Linked DNA regions of Saccharomyces cerevisiae S288C. Changing the gene in region 1 together with any one later gene gives a genetic interaction. Each region holds a gene or a part of one and is shown in the gene's direction. Other genes may lie near its edges.

Evidence for each region.
Region 2: mutations in SLM3 (region 1) and KTR3 together harm fitness more than expected from each alone (negative genetic interaction), as found in Saccharomyces cerevisiae (2 studies listed by BioGRID).
Region 3: mutations in SLM3 (region 1) and MRS4 together harm fitness more than expected from each alone (negative genetic interaction), as found in Saccharomyces cerevisiae (2 studies listed by BioGRID).
Region 4: mutations in SLM3 (region 1) and SPR3 together harm fitness more than expected from each alone (negative genetic interaction), as found in Saccharomyces cerevisiae (2 studies listed by BioGRID).

Annotation. Positions count from the first base shown.
Region 1 is NC_001136.10:391,557-395,841, reverse strand, and holds SLM3 (tRNA-5-taurinomethyluridine 2-sulfurtransferase), read left to right. Parts: upstream 1-1,929; coding exon 1,930-3,183; downstream 3,184-4,285. Other genes in the region: ATP-dependent RNA helicase DBP10, read right to left, coding at 1-1,625; GPR1 (Gpr1p), read left to right, coding at 3,785-4,285. UniProt on the Saccharomyces cerevisiae protein: Catalyzes the 2-thiolation of uridine at the wobble position (U34) of mitochondrial tRNA(Lys), tRNA(Glu) and tRNA(Gln).
Region 2 is NC_001134.8:631,577-635,907, forward strand, and holds KTR3 (mannosyltransferase KTR3), read left to right. Parts: upstream 1-2,045; coding exon 2,046-3,260; downstream 3,261-4,331. Other genes in the region: COS111 (Cos111p), read left to right, coding at 1-366; LDH1 (triacylglycerol lipase), read right to left, coding at 678-1,805; FTH1 (Fth1p), read left to right, coding at 3,570-4,331. UniProt on the Saccharomyces cerevisiae protein: Possible glycosyltransferase that transfers an alpha-D-mannosyl residue from GDP-mannose into lipid-linked oligosaccharide, forming an alpha-(1->2)-D-mannosyl-D-mannose linkage.
Region 3 is NC_001143.9:531,395-535,335, reverse strand, and holds MRS4 (Fe(2+) transporter), read left to right. Parts: upstream 1-1,871; coding exon 1,872-2,786; downstream 2,787-3,941. Other genes in the region: sphinganine kinase YSR3, read left to right, coding at 55-1,269; HFL1 (Hfl1p), read right to left, coding at 3,134-3,941. UniProt on the Saccharomyces cerevisiae protein: MRS4 suppresses a mitochondrial splice defect in the first intron of the COB gene. It may act as a carrier, exerting its suppressor activity via modulation of solute concentrations in the mitochondrion (possibly of cations). Not essential.
Region 4 is NC_001139.9:604,802-609,830, forward strand, and holds SPR3 (septin SPR3), read left to right. Parts: upstream 1-2,761; coding exon 2,762-4,300; downstream 4,301-5,029. Other genes in the region: LST7 (Lst7p), read right to left, coding at 1-700; PEF1 (Pef1p), read left to right, coding at 1,335-2,342. UniProt on the Saccharomyces cerevisiae protein: Septins are GTPases involved in cytokinesis that assemble into filaments and form a ring at the cleavage site. May act by recruiting MYO1 and HOF1, a protein involved in septation, to the site of cleavage.

The DNA of each region.
Region 1 (4,285 bases):
GGTAATTCATTTTCAGCGACAATGGAATATGCCCAACCTTTGTTACCGGCTCTTGCAGTTCTACCTACACGATGTACAAAAATTTTTGATGAACCAGGTAATGTGTAATTAATAACATTGGCTAACATTGGAATATCGACACCTCTTGCAGCAACATCTGTAACAACCAAAATGGAAGTTAAGCCCGCCCTAAAATTATATAATTGACGTTTACGAGCATGTTGGTCCAAAGTACCGTAGATGTACGAAATCAAGTATCCGCAGTCTCTTAAGAGTTGAGAAATGTATTCCACATGATGTCTTGTTGGAACGAACAGAATAGTTGCTTTTTCAGAAGGAAGTTCATTAGCTGCAGGCATTTTTTGTTTACGGAACTTTTCCTTCTTGAAATTCCTCCTCTTCTTTTGGCGATCATTTTCATCATCTGAGTCACTATCTGCCTCATTGTTACTATTTTGCAGCTTTTGAAGTTGTTCACTAGTGGCTAACGGAATCTTTATGATTTCTTGCAAAATATATAATAGGTTCGCCTCTCTATCTGCGTTTTTACTGGATAGAAAAAGCATTTCTAAGTTCTCTGAAACTTTCGTTTCCGCGTCCAAACGAACCAAAACTGGATTAACCAAACCAGCCTTAACAAAATCAACCAATGAATTAGGTAGAGTAGCAGAAAACAACAAAGTCTGTCTTGTTGTAGGCAAAGATGCAAGTAATTCATTCAACTGTTCTTGAAAACCCATTTCGAACAACCTATCAGCTTCATCGAAAACAACGTACTCAACACTCTTCAAATCGAGGTTCATTTCAACTTTCAGATGTAAAAATCTACCAGGTGTTGCAATAATAACGTCTGGGTTGGTCATCATCATGCCAAATTGTTCTTCCAAGGAATCACCACCAGTCAAGAGGACGCTTCTTAGTTCTGTTCCTCTGGCAAAATCCTTGAAAACGTTGAAAGTCTGCATGGCTAATTCTCTGGAAGGCGATAAGATGACTGCACGGGCGCCAATTTTACCTGAGTGACTTTTCAATTTTTCCACCATTGGCAAGATGAATGCTGCAGTCTTACCAGAACCGGTACGTGCCATACCAACAATATCCCTACTTTGCAAAATTAATGGGATAGTCTTCCTTTGAATAGGAGTGGGTTGGCGAAATCCCTTCCTTTTAATATTGTTCAATACAATTTTGGATAGGCCAAAGCTGGGAAAACTACCTTTTTTATGCTTTGTTTTCTCCAAGTTATTTGTGGAGAAATATTCATTGACATCATCCTCATCATCACCGGTTTGAGTTTTACCAGATGCATTGTTTTCATCATCTGACATTTCTAACATTGGAAATGCTGCTATTTCCTTCTTACTATTCTTTTTTTTCTTGATGTCCTTGTTTTCAGCCTTCTTCTTATTGTTCACTCCTTCTTCTTCATCTGAGCTGTACTCGATCACATCCTGGACATCGTTGGGACCATAATCAGCTTCAACTTCACTATCGGAGTCGTTAGCATCACTCTCACTATCATTTAAGGCAATTTCATTTGCAATATCAAAGGCGATGTCGTCCTCCTCGCTTCCATTGTCGTCTTGATCTTCGAGATCCCTTTTTCTTTTCTGCACGCCTGCCATATTCTAGGTTAAAGAGATATGTGGTGGTAACTTAAATGACAAAAGTACTTTTAGTGACTTTACTTCAAGCAGTAGGAAGTTAGTGAAGTACTAGTAACTCTCTGTAAAGCCATTTTGTATGAATTTCATCTCATCGCTTGAAAATTTTAAGAGCGCCGGGTAGTAACAATTGGTCTCTTATTTTTTTCTTTCAATAGTTGAGGCAAAACATTGCTTTATTGTAAAAGAATGAAAGTTTGGAAACATACAAGAACGTTAAAAATGTGAGCGTATTGATTTGGCAATCGATTCAAGTCAGATAACAATGCTGGCAAGATATTTAAATTTAATAGGACGGAGGAGTGCTTCACCGTACAGACCACAGCGGCTACCGGCAAAGTTTGACAACGTGATAGTGGCAATGTCATCTGGGGTAGATTCCTCTGTGGCGGCAGCACTATTTGCCGGAGAATTTCCAAATACCCGAGGAGTATATATGCAGAACTGGTCTGAATCACAATCTTTGGACGACCCTGGCAAGGAGCCATGCTACGAGAGGGATTGGAGAGATGTGAACCGTGTCGCTAAGCATTTGAACATCCGAGTTGACAAAGTTAATTTTGAGCAAGATTATTGGATAGATGTATTTGAACCAATGTTGAGAGGCTACAGTGAAGGGTCGACACCCAATCCAGATATCGGTTGCAACAAGTTCGTCAAGTTCGGCAAGCTGAGAGAGTGGCTGGATGAGAAGTATGGGACGGGTAACTATTGGCTTGTTACTGGTCATTACGCCCGAGTTATGCAGGAAATGAATGGAAAAGGATTATTCCATTTACTGAGAAGCATTTATAGGCCCAAGGATCAAAGCTATTACCTTTCACAAATCAACTCCACTGTTTTGTCATCTTTGTTGCTACCCATTGGCCATCTAACGAAACCAGAAGTACGAGATTTAGCGAAGTATGCAGGCCTCCCGACTGCAGAAAAGCCTGATTCACAGGGCATATGCTTCGTCAACAATTCCCAGCATGGGAAGTTCAAGAATTTTTTAAAGCACTACCTACCCAGTTCACCGGGTGATATCATTACCGTTGACCCACAATCCGGTGCCAAAACGACATGGGGCAGACACGATGGATTGTGGTCTTACACAATTGGACAGAAAGTGGGCATATCCATGCCACAAGCTGACCCTAATTACCAAGGGACCTGGTTTGTCAGTGAAAAACTAAGGGATACCAACGAAATCTTGATAGTCAGAGGAAGAGATAATCCGGCGCTATACAGTGACACTATGCGAATCGAAAACTTTTCGTCTTTGGGCCCCAGGGAGGACACTATAAACGCTTTCCAAAATACTGGTGCCTTGACATTACAATTCCGGTCCCTGCAGGTCCCAGTCCAAATTAAATCGTGCAAACTGAATCGCTCTGCCGACAACCTCGACATAACAATACACTTAGCCTCAAAACAACGTGCCATAACTCCTGGGCAATCGTGCTGTCTATATATCGACGATAGAGTCCTTGGGAGTGGGCCCATTTCCCATGTTAATAATAATGACACCCATGCATAGTGATGATAATGAATTTAGTATATCACCTTATACGATGCGCCGCAGCAATTAATCTTAGCAACATACTTGCCTAATTGAACCACGGTGGTACGATACAGCCAAGAAGAGCTCATGAAGCGGCTGACCATTTCGAAAAGTAATCTGTATATATGAAGGTCTTTTCCCTTGAATCATGTCTCAATAAGTAGTTCATTTTTTTTTGCCCTCTTGTTTTTCTTTTTCATTTTTTTAAATCACACTTTTTTTTCTTTTCAAGATTTATAAATCTTCCTTCCAGGTTTGAGCCGGACCCATTGTTTAATTAAAGCATAGAAGGCAACGAAGGAGTGGGTTATAGAATTAGCATTGCGGCAAAAACGTCATATTTATTAATATTTATTTGCGAAGGTCATATTCAACGCAATCGCACGTCCTCTTCCGTCTTTTTTCTAGCTTTTGTCCTTTTTTATTTGTCTACATCCCTTTCTCTACGGTATCCAGAAGAAGGTGTGTGTGTGTGTGTGTGTGTGTGTCTATAAAAAGCAGTAAGAGTCACCAAAAAAAAAAAACGACAAACAAGTGATCCGAAGTGTGACGAATAAAGCAAACTCTCCAACTCAAAATGATAACTGAGGGATTTCCCCCGAATTTAAACGCGTTGAAAGGGTCATCCTTACTAGAAAAGAGAGTTGATTCTCTCCGACAGCTTAACACTACCACGGTTAACCAGCTGCTGGGGTTGCCGGGGATGACCTCTACATTCACGGCTCCGCAACTGTTGCAGTTAAGAATAATAGCTATAACTGCGTCTGCCGTGTCCCTTATTGCCGGTTGCCTCGGAATGTTCTTCCTTTCTAAAATGGATAAGAGACGAAAAGTCTTCAGACATGATCTCATCGCATTTTTGATAATTTGCGACTTTCTTAAAGCTTTTATTCTGATGATTTATCCCATGATTATCCTTATTAATAATAGTGTGTATGCAACACCTGCATTTTTTAATACCTTGGGTTGGTTTACGGCCTTTGCCATCGAAGGTGCAGACATGGCCATAATGATATTCGCCATACATTTTGCTATTTTGATCTTCAAGCCTAATTGGAAATGGCGAAATAAAAGATCG
Region 2 (4,331 bases), on another chromosome or scaffold:
TGCCGAGACCCGGATATTCTCGAAATATCAAACTTATTTGATATTAGATATGGGGCCGGATCTGAGGCTGATGCTACTTCTGATTCCAATCTCGAAGCAGAATCTTTACAATTCAGGTTGACAATATTAAAAACAGAAAAGCCAACTTCATTTTGGCTCACAAAAGTTTCCAAAGATTATGTTTCTTTAGTGGTTAAATTATGTGTGGATGATGACATTGATATGGACAAAATGAAAGTTGGAAAACCAACTTTGAGAATAGACAGTATTACACACAATTTGATTAGTAGGTTAAAGGAGTTGAGGAGAGTTGATCTAAGGAGAAATGTTGGCGAAAATAACTACTATGCTGAAAGCATCATATAACGACTGCTCTCTTTTAACAGCATACGTTCTGTTAATTTATTTGGCCAAATATTATTGATGTTTATTTTTTTCTTTTTTGCATAGCCTTTCTACATTTCATGGCTTTATTTATTTATATTTATTTTTCGTTTCCTATTTTTTTGCATACATAGACACTACCTTTGATTTTTGCTTGTAAGATGTACGATATAAAGTATACTATGAAAAATTTGAAAATATTGGTCTTAGTTACTTTTTCTGGTTTGTTTTATCAATTCATGTAGCAGTGTGCACGAAAATCTAGTTACGCAATGTGAAATCTAGAAAACCTTCTACAATTTGGAATTATCAATCACCTCTCGTTGAAAGTTTTCACACACCAATTCTGGACGGTCGAAGCATAAATTATGAGAACAGTCAGGTAAAATAATCACTTTACGAAGACATTCTTTATTTATAGTTTGTTTGTAAAATTCCAAATTTTCAATAGGAGCTATAGGATCTTTTTCAGCGCCAAATATTATAATTTTCTGTTTCATATCCGTTTGCGTCAATACACCATTGAATTTAACCCAATCAACAGTTTCCCATCCTAGTAAATAACCTATGATGGTTCTACTTTTGTTGCTTATGTTGTTTTTAAATTGCCAGAACTTCCTGTATTTCAACTTGACATCATCACCTTGTTGATAAAAATACTGCTTGATGCCGGAACTTTGTAGACCTTTTACCTGATCGAATTTGTTTCTATAAACGTCAAATAGCCATGGCAATTTAAACACACCATAGAGAGCCCACTGGATAATATGTTTATCCTTAGAAAGCTGCTCGATATGTGCTTTGGGGGGCGTCAACAAAACTAGCGTTTGTACCGCTTTTGTATCAGCCATGTGCTGCTCGTAAAGATGACATGCCAGAAAACAACCCATAGAATGCCCTACAAGCACTATCTTATGACCGTTAAATGGATTTACGTTATCATTATTCGGCACCGCTGTAGACCATTTTCTTAAGACGTCACATACAAGAACGAAAATAAGTTCCACCACTTTCAGCATGGGGTAGTCGCTCCATTCTGAACTATGACCAAAGCCGGGCAGATCTAACGTCAAAAATGCCTTTTGATCAGAGTCCACAAGCTCGAGTAAGGGTTCAAATTGTTCTAAGTTGCCAGCCAACCCAGGCACGAAGACGAAAACAGTATCACCCCGTATCCCTTTATCGCTCAAGTTGTGACACGTCCTTATTCTTGAATTTCGATCCGATAGTTGTACATTAAAAAACTCCTCATGTTCTGCGATAAACTTCAACCTAAAGTCCAAATCTACCTCTGGTTTGCGAATGTAAGCTACCAAATCAGCTGCATTTTCTGCATTTTGAACAATCTCTTCTAGCGTCTTTCCAGAAAGGGGCTCACAGGACCAACTTTTTGTTGCTTCTGCACGTTCTGCCATATTCATTACCAAGAGAAAAAGTTCTCGGTTTAAGGCTTTCTTCTAACGTTGAGTTACGATCCAAATGCGACTGTACCATCTTGGTAGTTCTTTATTAATGAACCCTTTAAAATTGCCGGGTTAAAAGAATGGCGCGTCCTCTTGAAACTTTTCGAAGAAAACAACGTAACTGATGGTTAAAATTTGCATAAAGAAGGTCAGGCCTCGTCTGCGGACAACAACACTATCAATATCCAGCGTGCAATTATGTCTGTGCACCACAAAAAGAAGCTAATGCCCAAATCGGCATTGCTGATTAGAAAATACCAAAAGGGAATCAGATCATCATTCATTGGGCTCATCATAGTGTTATCCTTTTTATTTTTCATGAGTGGCTCAAGGTCCCCAGAGGTACCAATAGCTCAGGGCACCAGTGTCAGTCGTGTAGCCAGTAAGGATTATTTGATGCCGTTTACTGACAAGTCACAAGGAGTAATCCATCCCGTGGACGATGGAAAGAAGGAAAAGGGTGTTATGGTCACATTGGCCAGGAATTCAGATTTATGGAACTTGGTAAAATCTATTAGACATGTTGAAGACAGGTTCAATAACAGATATCACTACGATTGGGTGTTCTTGAATGACCAACCATTTAGTGATGAGTTTAAACGTGTTACCAGTGCATTGGTTTCAGGCAAGGCAAAATATGGGACAATCCCAAAGGACCATTGGTCCATTCCATCTTGGATCGATACTGAAAAATTCGATGAGAAAAGGCTTGCAATGGGAAAATTGGATATTCCATATGGTAGTTCCGTGCCTTACCGTCACATGTGCCGTTTCCAGTCAGGGTTCATATGGAGACACCCACTACTGGAGGAGTACGAATGGTTTTGGAGAGTGGATACCGATATCACTTTATTCTGTGATATTCAGTATGACATATTCAAGTTTTTAAAAGTAAATAACAAGAAATATGGATTCATTCTTTCGGTAAGTGAATATGAGCGCACAATCCCAACCTTGTGGGAAACGACAAAGAAATTCATCAAGAAAAATCCTAAATTCTTACACAAAAATAACCTCATGAAATTCATTTCGAATGATGATGGTGACACTTATAATATGTGTCATTTCTGGACCAACTTCGAAATCGGCTCTTTAGACTTCTTCAGGTCCGATGCATACAGAGAATACTTTGATTACTTAGACAGTTCTGGTGGATTCTTCTACGAAAGATGGGGGGATGCGCCAGTGCACTCCATCGCTGCCTCTTTGTTCTTGGACAAGTCAGAAATCCATTTCTTTGACGGTCTTGGATTCCATCATCCAGATTTCACCTCTTGTCCTATCGAACAGAAGATTAGACTACAAAACAAGTGTATCTGCGAACCTAGCAAGGACGTCACCTGGACTCCTGACTACTTCTGTACTAGAAAGTACTTTTCAGCAGGAAATTACAAGCTTCCACCAGGAATTTAAAAACCAAACTACAAATAGCGCCTGCTCCGTCAAAACAGGTGCTAAAACGTCAACATGTATCTATCTATATACACATAATTCAATGTAGTAGCCACCTCACTTTATTCTAGTGCCTTCTTGGGTTCAAAAATGGGTGCGGTGCGGCCGGAGATGAAGAGAGAAAAGCAAAATTGTATCTAAACCAGCCTACAAAAACACAAACTTGATATTATAAAGAATCAAGCATCTTACTGAACTTTTGTCCTCTACAGAAAAGCGAAAAAACTCTAAGAATAGAGAACTAGAGTGGTGTTCATATTTCTAGTCACCATGGCGTTTGAGGATTATTTTTCTTTCCAGATATTCTTCATTTTCTTAAGGGAATCCTTAGAAATTGTTGTCATTGTTTCTATCCTGTTGACGATCGTCAAACAAGGTCTGTCTGTTGAGGACGACAGCCCGTTTGAAGGAAGTTCCTCTTCTGCTGGTCTTCCAAGTCCAAATACGAACACAAACGCAGATTCGACCACTGCCTTCTTACAAGCAGGGCCTTCAGACGGTAATGCTATTGGAACGTCCGCTACGGCTGCTAATAATAAATCGAGGCCGCTAAATGTGGAGGAAGAAGAAGAAATTTACGAGTACTCTAATGAGCTTAGAGACCAGGACCGCGAGTCCGATGAACATACGGCTGACAACGTTAAGCTATATCAGAAATTAAAAATACAAATTCTAGCGGGCGGCGCATTTGGTTTGTTGCTGTGTATGTTAATCGGGGGTGCGTTTGTTAGTATCTTTTATCATATTGGAACCGACTTATGGACACTGAGTGAACATTATTATGAAGGTGTCTTAAGTCTTGTCGCGTCCGTTATTATTTCTGTCATGGGGTTGTTTTTTTTAAGAATGGGGAAGTTAAGAGAGAAGTTCAGAGTGAAATTAGCTTCTATCATTTATTCAAAGGACAATAATTTGCTGGGAAACAAAACCCAAAAAGGTGTGAAATTCAGTGAAAAGTACTCCTTCTTCATATTACCATTTATAACGACTTTGAGAGAAGGGTTAGAAGCTGTTGTATTCATTGGAGGTATC
Region 3 (3,941 bases), on another chromosome or scaffold:
GTGGTAGTCTTCAAAAAAATATACAAAATAGCAAGCCTGTAAAAGAATTTAATTATGACCATTATTCAGACGGTTACTGAATTGGGTGTTACCGAGGACACCATTAAGGTTCAGATGGCTCCTTCCGGCGGCAAACACCTATTGGCAGATCCCGGTAATCATCCAGCGGAGCATTTTGAGAGCCAGATGTCGTGGCTAAGGTTTCAAACAAGGCAGTATCTAACTAGATTCACAGACAACCAATCAGATTTCGTACATTCTTTACAAAAAAAGCACAGAACGCCTTTTAGAGACGTTTATTTCAAATACACTTCGCTTATGGGTTCCCACATGTTTTATGTTATCGTGCTTCCCATGCCTGTGTGGCTTGGATACCGCGATTTAACACGGGACATGATCTACGTTCTTGGTTATTCAATTTATTTGAGTGGCTACTTAAAGGATTATTGGTGCCTACCAAGGCCAAAATCACCGCCAGTTGACAGAATCACACTAAGTGAATACACTACGAAAGAATATGGTGCACCCAGTTCACATTCTGCTAACGCTACTGCGGTAAGTCTATTATTCTTTTGGAGAATATGTTTATCTGACACACTGGTATGGCCAACAAAGCTTCTTTTACTGAGTCTGGTGATATTTTACTACTTAACCCTGGTTTTTGGTAGAGTTTACTGCGGTATGCATGGTATGCTGGATTTATTTAGCGGCGCCGCAGTTGGAGCTATCTGTTTTTTTATAAGAATCTGGGTGGTGCATGCTTTACGAAATTTCCAGATTGGTGAACATCTCTGGTTTCCCCTTTTGAGTGTAGCATGGGGCTTGTTTATTCTGTTTAACCACGTCAGGCCCATTGATGAATGTCCTTGTTTCGAAGATAGCGTAGCGTTCATTGGCGTAGTCAGTGGGCTGGATTGCAGCGACTGGTTAACCGAAAGATACGGATGGAACCTTGTATGTAGTAGGTACGCATCATGTGGTTCTAAGGTGTTCTTGAGGCCTCTGGTAGGTGTCGCTTCTGTGATTGTTTGGAAAGACGTCATTAGCAAGACAGCTGTCTACACGCTGTTAATTAAACTACTCAGATTTCACGATGATAGAAGCGAAAAGGTTCATTTCCATAACGAGACAAGTGAAGAAGAAGAGTGTTTATTGTACAGCGGTGTTTCCAAAGTGGAAATCGTCGGAAGGTTTCTCATATACGCAGGTATACCTACAACCGTCTTTTTGCTATGCCCAGTTTTTTTCACTTGGACAAACTTAAGGTAGACTCTCGTATGTATGCATTTAGTGACTTATACATATATATTGTATCTACATAACACATCATTGAAATTCACCCCGATGAGTACATATTTGGAATTCAGCATTTTTTTTTTCTCGCTTTTGATAGCCAGCCCATCTATGGTGCTTACTAATGTATAGAGAGGATATAACAATGAAAAATCAAGATTTCAGGCATGAGTCAAGACTTTAGCTCTTTTATATACCTTCAGGATGTTCGTACCATGCGTCGCAGGCCCTAGATCGGCGTTTTGGGTTTTACACATGCATGTTTGCCGTGGTTCACCCTCTTTTAACCCACAGGAATCGCTACTTTGACACCCCCGATCGTGTCTCTTTTCGGTATTTTGGCACCCTTTCTTGAATGAGAGCATGGCGAAGACTGAAAGGCAAGAACACCCTGCTATCTTTTGCCTACCATTGGCGAACGTCATCTTATCTAAGTAGTAAGCTGTATATAAAGATATTTGGAGGTTTTATTGGAATCTCATAGAATTTTCACTTTATCAGAGGTTTATTGACGAAGACTTTCGTGAGAAGTACAAAGTGAAGAAGTAAAAAACTCAACCGAAATATCAGTTAATATTATGAATACTTCAGAACTGTCAATAGCTGAGGAAATCGACTACGAAGCTCTTCCATCACATGCTCCGCTACATTCCCAGTTACTGGCAGGAGCATTTGCAGGTATAATGGAGCATTCTTTGATGTTTCCAATAGATGCTCTGAAAACCCGAGTGCAGGCTGCAGGATTGAATAAAGCTGCCTCTACAGGGATGATATCTCAGATATCCAAAATATCTACAATGGAAGGTTCGATGGCTTTATGGAAGGGTGTTCAATCGGTAATACTGGGGGCAGGGCCTGCGCATGCAGTATATTTTGGTACATACGAGTTTTGCAAAGCTCGCCTGATAAGCCCTGAAGATATGCAAACTCATCAACCAATGAAGACCGCACTGAGTGGTACCATTGCTACCATTGCTGCGGATGCATTGATGAACCCCTTTGACACCGTTAAACAAAGACTACAATTGGATACTAATCTAAGAGTTTGGAATGTTACTAAGCAAATATATCAAAATGAAGGCTTTGCAGCATTTTACTACTCCTATCCCACAACATTGGCCATGAATATCCCATTTGCAGCGTTCAATTTCATGATATATGAATCTGCCAGCAAATTCTTCAACCCACAAAATTCCTACAATCCATTGATTCATTGTCTTTGCGGTGGGATAAGTGGTGCAACATGTGCTGCGTTAACTACACCGTTGGATTGCATAAAGACTGTATTACAGGTTAGAGGCAGCGAAACTGTCTCCATCGAAATAATGAAGGATGCGAACACTTTTGGTAGAGCCTCAAGAGCCATACTGGAGGTTCATGGTTGGAAGGGGTTTTGGCGAGGTTTGAAACCAAGGATAGTGGCTAATATACCAGCCACTGCCATTTCTTGGACTGCATATGAATGTGCTAAGCATTTTTTAATGAAAAATTGATGTTTTTTCCCCTTTTCGAGGTCAACTTTTTTTGACAACTTATAAAAGGCAAGGCCAAAATGCATTGGTGGTGGTGCTGTTGCTGCTGCTGCCACTTTTGTTGCTGCAAAAGACAAGTCCAATGGTAATAATAGAAAAATAATAATAATGGTGATATCGTCCAACTCCCACTCTGCATATATAGCCAATCCTCCGGCAAAAAATTACAGTAGCATTTATTTCATTTTATTAGAATAAGCATCCAAGTTACAATAATTGAAAAAAAAGCATTGCTTGTAGATGTTGTTTTATTTTGTATATAACCGAAAGCGCAGTAACTATGTATATACGTACATTTAACGACTCATTTAACAAGCCATTGATGACCTACTTTGAACATCTCTTCTTAAATCATTCATTGATCTACTATATCGATGGCCCATCGTGTAGTCGTGAACAACCGGATAATTTGGATCCTCAGGAAAAGTTCTCTGACCAGCAATATCATCTTCCCATGATTCCTCTATTGATTCCGGAACAAGGTTGTTATCTATACTCCCATATGCCACCCAATAACTATTTCTTCCATTATCAGTAAATCTTAGCCCATGCTTTAGTCTTTCCATAGTCGCACCGGATTGTTGTCTAGTGCTTAATAGATCCATGGCTTCAGGATCGAAGTTCCTATAATTATAGTACAAGGGACCAGCAAACAAAGTCTGTTTAAAATCCCATATTAGATCACCGCAACCAAGAAAATCTTTCAAAGCGTAAATGAATTTCATCCTGGCCCCATAAGGTATGCTAAATGCTGTGTATTTGTTCCAAGGGAAAGCTACTGCATGCAAGATGGCGAAAGGCACCATCTCTATACACAGGAGCCCATTCTTGTACACATATCCAGAGGTTCGATCTTGGTTTCCCGTACCCAACTTTCCAGTAACCACTAGACCCTGGATTATGATGCTCTGCCAATAAGAGGCAAAAATAATCAATTTGACACATAAAAATTTCAACCATGGTTTATAAGGAGTTAATTCCGGATAGAGACACTTCCAAAATAGTGCTAAACTATACAGTGACCAAGTCACTGAAATATTATAAAAAACGTTCAAAAATATTTCGAATTTGGGTAGCTTCCATGCACTGCATATCAATGTACCAAAACAATAAAAT
Region 4 (5,029 bases), on another chromosome or scaffold:
TATGGAGTAAAAATGAATTCCATTTATGTATTCGCACGAAGAGAAATTTATCATCCGTCAGAGACACCAAATTACGGCCGAATTTAGATTTGTTTGCACGTAAATATGAGCCAATGAAAGCGTTATTATTCAATGTTTCCAAATTGTTTTCCACCGTTTTATTTTTCCCCAAGAATTCGCTTTTATGAATGTTTTTAATATATGCAATCATTTTATCAAATCCACCGATGATAAAGTTCCAGTGTTCACTCAACATTTTCATAGAATCGTCATGGCTTCTGGAATCGACTGTTAAAATAAAACAATATCTTCTTTCATTGCCTCTAGCATTTTCATCATACAGTTTAAAGCCTATAACTAAGTTCAATCCTCTAAGATCATCAAAAAATATAAAAGGCATATTATCATAAATCATTGTTTCTTCAGAAAAGGCTCTTTTAATAATAGAATTTAGCAATTGGTATCTTATAGAAGAATATTGGGTAGTTATAAACGGAACATCTTCGATGAAGCACCGCATCGATCTAGTTGACTCTTCAGGAAACTGTAAAAGACATGATTCGCAATATGATTCAGTTGGATAATCAGGCACTAGTAATTCTTCACCTAGCGTTCCCTTTTCTGCGGATTGTGTAACTGATATGATCCTTGGGCCATGCTTGTCGCAGAAATGAGCCAATGAAATCACTGTCGAGGACATTCTATGCATCTATTTCATCAACCATTTAAACGCTAACTTATTTTATGGAGGTGCTAGTTAGTTGGACTTTATTGCTTCATTTATCGTTTGATGGTCATCGAATAGAAGATTCCTAAGCCCTTTTCTTTTTACTCAAGATTTTCTTTTTCAAGCGTGTTTTTTCTGGCAAGTACGAAAACGGCATCTTCGAACTTGGCGAATGAACAATCGGTTTGGTTCAACATTTCCAAGAACAACTACAACATACTATCAGTGTTACTTTCAAAAGTCTTTTAATACATTTGAAATGATATTCAGTGGAAGTGGAATGAAATAGGCCACAGTGAATAGGCCACGATACACACAGCATGTGTCATGCTCAATACCTTGCACCTGAATCTATATAATCTTGTAGTTCACCATTATATACATAACTCAGAAGAAGAAAACAATACGCATATTGGATAGTGCTCCATCGCTTTTAACAACTGATAATTTCAGTCATCTGGCTCAGGGTCTTGTCGATTTTTTTTATTTAGAAACTATCCGAATAAAAAAACCGCAGGAATACAAAGCGATGGGAATTGCTATTTCACTGAACATGTATGTATACCGTATACCGCATAAAATAACTATAAACCTACACCATTAAACGATGTGTGCAAAGAAGCTCAAATACGCTGCTGGCGATGACTTTGTACGCTATGCTACACCTAAAGAGGCCATGGAGGAAACTAGACGTGAATTCGAGAAAGAGAAACAACGACAGCAACAAATAAAGGTTACTCAAGCACAAACTCCCAACACTAGAGTCCACTCAGCTCCAATTCCCTTACAAACTCAATATAACAAAAACAGAGCAGAAAACGGTCACCACTCCTATGGTTCTCCCCAAAGTTATTCTCCAAGACATACGAAAACACCTGTGGATCCTAGATATAATGTTATCGCACAGAAACCAGCAGGCAGGCCTATACCTCCAGCGCCAACCCATTATAACAACTTGAACACTTCCGCTCAACGGATAGCTTCCTCTCCTCCTCCCCTAATTCACAATCAAGCAGTGCCTGCACAACTCTTGAAGAAAGTTGCACCTGCTTCGTTCGATAGCAGAGAAGATGTACGAGACATGCAAGTGGCCACACAGCTATTTCATAACCATGATGTAAAGGGCAAAAACCGACTGACAGCTGAGGAACTACAGAACTTACTACAAAACGACGACAACTCCCATTTTTGTATATCATCAGTAGATGCGCTGATAAATTTATTTGGTGCTTCCAGGTTTGGCACTGTCAACCAGGCAGAATTCATCGCCCTATACAAAAGAGTGAAAAGTTGGAGAAAAGTTTATGTGGACAATGATATCAACGGATCGCTCACCATTTCTGTAAGCGAATTTCATAACTCACTTCAAGAACTAGGATATCTAATACCTTTTGAAGTTAGCGAGAAAACATTTGACCAATATGCTGAGTTTATAAACAGAAATGGAACAGGAAAAGAACTAAAGTTTGATAAATTCGTTGAGGCGTTAGTTTGGCTAATGAGATTAACAAAATTATTCAGGAAATTCGATACTAATCAAGAAGGCATTGCAACCATACAGTACAAAGATTTTATCGATGCTACATTATATTTAGGTCGTTTCCTACCTCATTGATGAAAACCATTCGTTCTTTCTGGTCGTAATACAAATAGAAGAGGTAAACCAATCAATGGCCCGTTAGTTTGCCATTTGCTGCATCCTTCCCATGCAAAGTGTCTTCGTATTTAGTGATGTTTTGTTAGCGACACAAAAGAGACCTCGATGACAGACATTTTTTTTTCTTTACTTAATGTATTATAAGTGTGTCTGACCTCGACTATCATTATAATATTAATTTGAAGTTCTATTTTACATTTATATGAGTTATTCCATTACATAATAAGGATATCAAGAGCAGATTAGTGTCTTTTAGATTATACATCTTTTTCCCCCCTTTTTTGTTGTTGGTAGTGGAAAGAAAAGGATCAATTAACAGAAATAAATAAATAAATAATAAAAACCTAAAATTCCTTTTGCGTCATTGAATTTTTATTATGAAGTCAAAAGGGAGTCGGTTGTCAACAGACTGTCCTGTCGAATTTCCCAAGATAGTCTCTGGATTCGCTGAGGAAGTGAAAATACGTAGACAAAGTTCCCAAGGACAGTACGCCGTCGATTCACATCCTCCGAAAAGCCCTGAACTGAAACACAGAAGACAGAGGTCATCCTCTTTTGTTAACGGTAAATGCAGGAACAGGGACCTTCCATTGTTAGATAACAAGAAAGCACAAGAAATAAACACCAATTCACACGGCCAAGACATCGGTATCAAAAACTTACCACGTCAACGTGAGTTGTTGAATGCCAAAAATGGAATTGATTTTACGCTGATGGTGGCGGGTCAAAGTGGATTGGGTAAAACCACGTTTATCAATTCCTTATTTTCTACTTCTTTAATTGATGATGACATCAAAGAAAACAAACCTATTATTCGTTATAAAAGCATTGTAGAAGGAGATGGAACACACCTTAATTTCAACGTCATCGATACACCTGGTTTTGGTAACAATATGGATAATGCATTTACGTGGAGGACAATGGTTAACTATATTGATGAAGAAATAAGATCGTACATTTTCCAAGAAGAACAACCTGATAGGACAAAAATGGTTGATAATAGAGTCCATTGTTGTTTGTACTTTCTGAGACCTTCAAATAAGGGAATTGATACTTTAGACGTCGTAACAATGAAAAAATTAGCGAAGAGAGTGAATTTAATCCCGGTTATTGCTAAATCAGATTTGCTAACGAAAGAGGAATTGAAAAACTTCAAAACACAAGTTAGAGAAATAATAAGAGTACAAGATATCCCTGTATGTTTCTTTTTCGGCGATGAAGTTTTGAATGCAACACAAGATATTTTTCAAAAATATCCATTCAGTATAATTGCATCTAATGAGTACATTTTTAATGAAAAGGGCGAAAAAGTTAAAGGAAGACAATACAAATGGGGCGCTGTTGACATTGAAAATGAAAAGTACTGTGACTTCAAAATCTTGCAAAAGACGATTTTTGATTGGAATTTAATTGATCTTGTAGAAAGTACCGAGGATTATTATGAAAAATGCAGATCTGAAATGCTAAGAACTAGGCTATTAAAGGCCAGAGATTGCTTAACAACGAAAAGTGTTGACATAACGGAAGAACAAAGGAAATTTTTGGAGGAAGAAATGAACTTCGATGAAATCGAGGAAAACAAACTCAAAAATTACAAGTGCTATGAAATAATTAATAAAACGGTCATGGATAAGGTGGCTACAGAATGGGATCCTGAATTTATAACTAGACAATTAGAAGCTAAGAAAAAATTCAACGAGCTGTCCAACAGAGAAATTTCAAAATTTCGAGACTGGAAAAAGAGCCTATTCATGGAACAAGAGAATTTTAACCAAGAGATTGAACAATTGAATCACAAGTTGGAAAACTTACAACTGGAATGTCAGGACTTGGAATACAAGCTGTTAATCGGAAAAAGTTCCAACAGCCATTCCACAGATAGTGCTACTTTAGTAAACGTTCACATCAAAAGGTAGTATTAATTAAAAAAAAAAAAAAGCCAATAATTTCGCGCAAGCTTTGCTCTACATAATAAAAATACAATTAGGATAGAAATGAATATTTTTTTAGCGGCAGTTTTACCATAAGTAGCAAAACCCTAACAATACAATGTGAGACTAAAGTAAATCCGGGTAATACAAAATACAATTTTTTTTTATTCTTCACAGCGTTTTTTCGACGGAGGAGGGAAAAAAAAAAATTGTATTTAAGGCATCAAATGCGCGACATCATATACCTTTGTCCGCTGTTATCATACCTTGAACCTCTACATTTCAGCCTAGCGCGCGCAAAAAGAAAAAAAAATCATAAGCAAGAGTGGTACGGTAACCACAAGGCAATGCAAAGAAGGGTGCGATATCAAGTGATGTTACCTTCCTTTACTTTTTGCCTTTTTCTTGAATTGTCAATCCGCCCTTTTTTTCTTTTCAGTTTTTTCTCCTTTCATCCGTCTCGTTTATCATAATGATGATTTCACTTATACCTATATGTTTTTTCTGGCATCTCTAATGTTAGGATGTGAAGTTTAAGTACTCTCCATTCAATGAATACAATTTTTGACAATATCTGATTTTACTATGATTAAACAGACCGAGGGAGAAAAAAAAAAGGAACTAAAAAAGGGCCTACGTAGAAGATGATGTAAAAGTAGATTCGCATCTGAGAATGTTTTCTTCAAATTTTTCTTTTCGGCCTTGGCGCAGAAG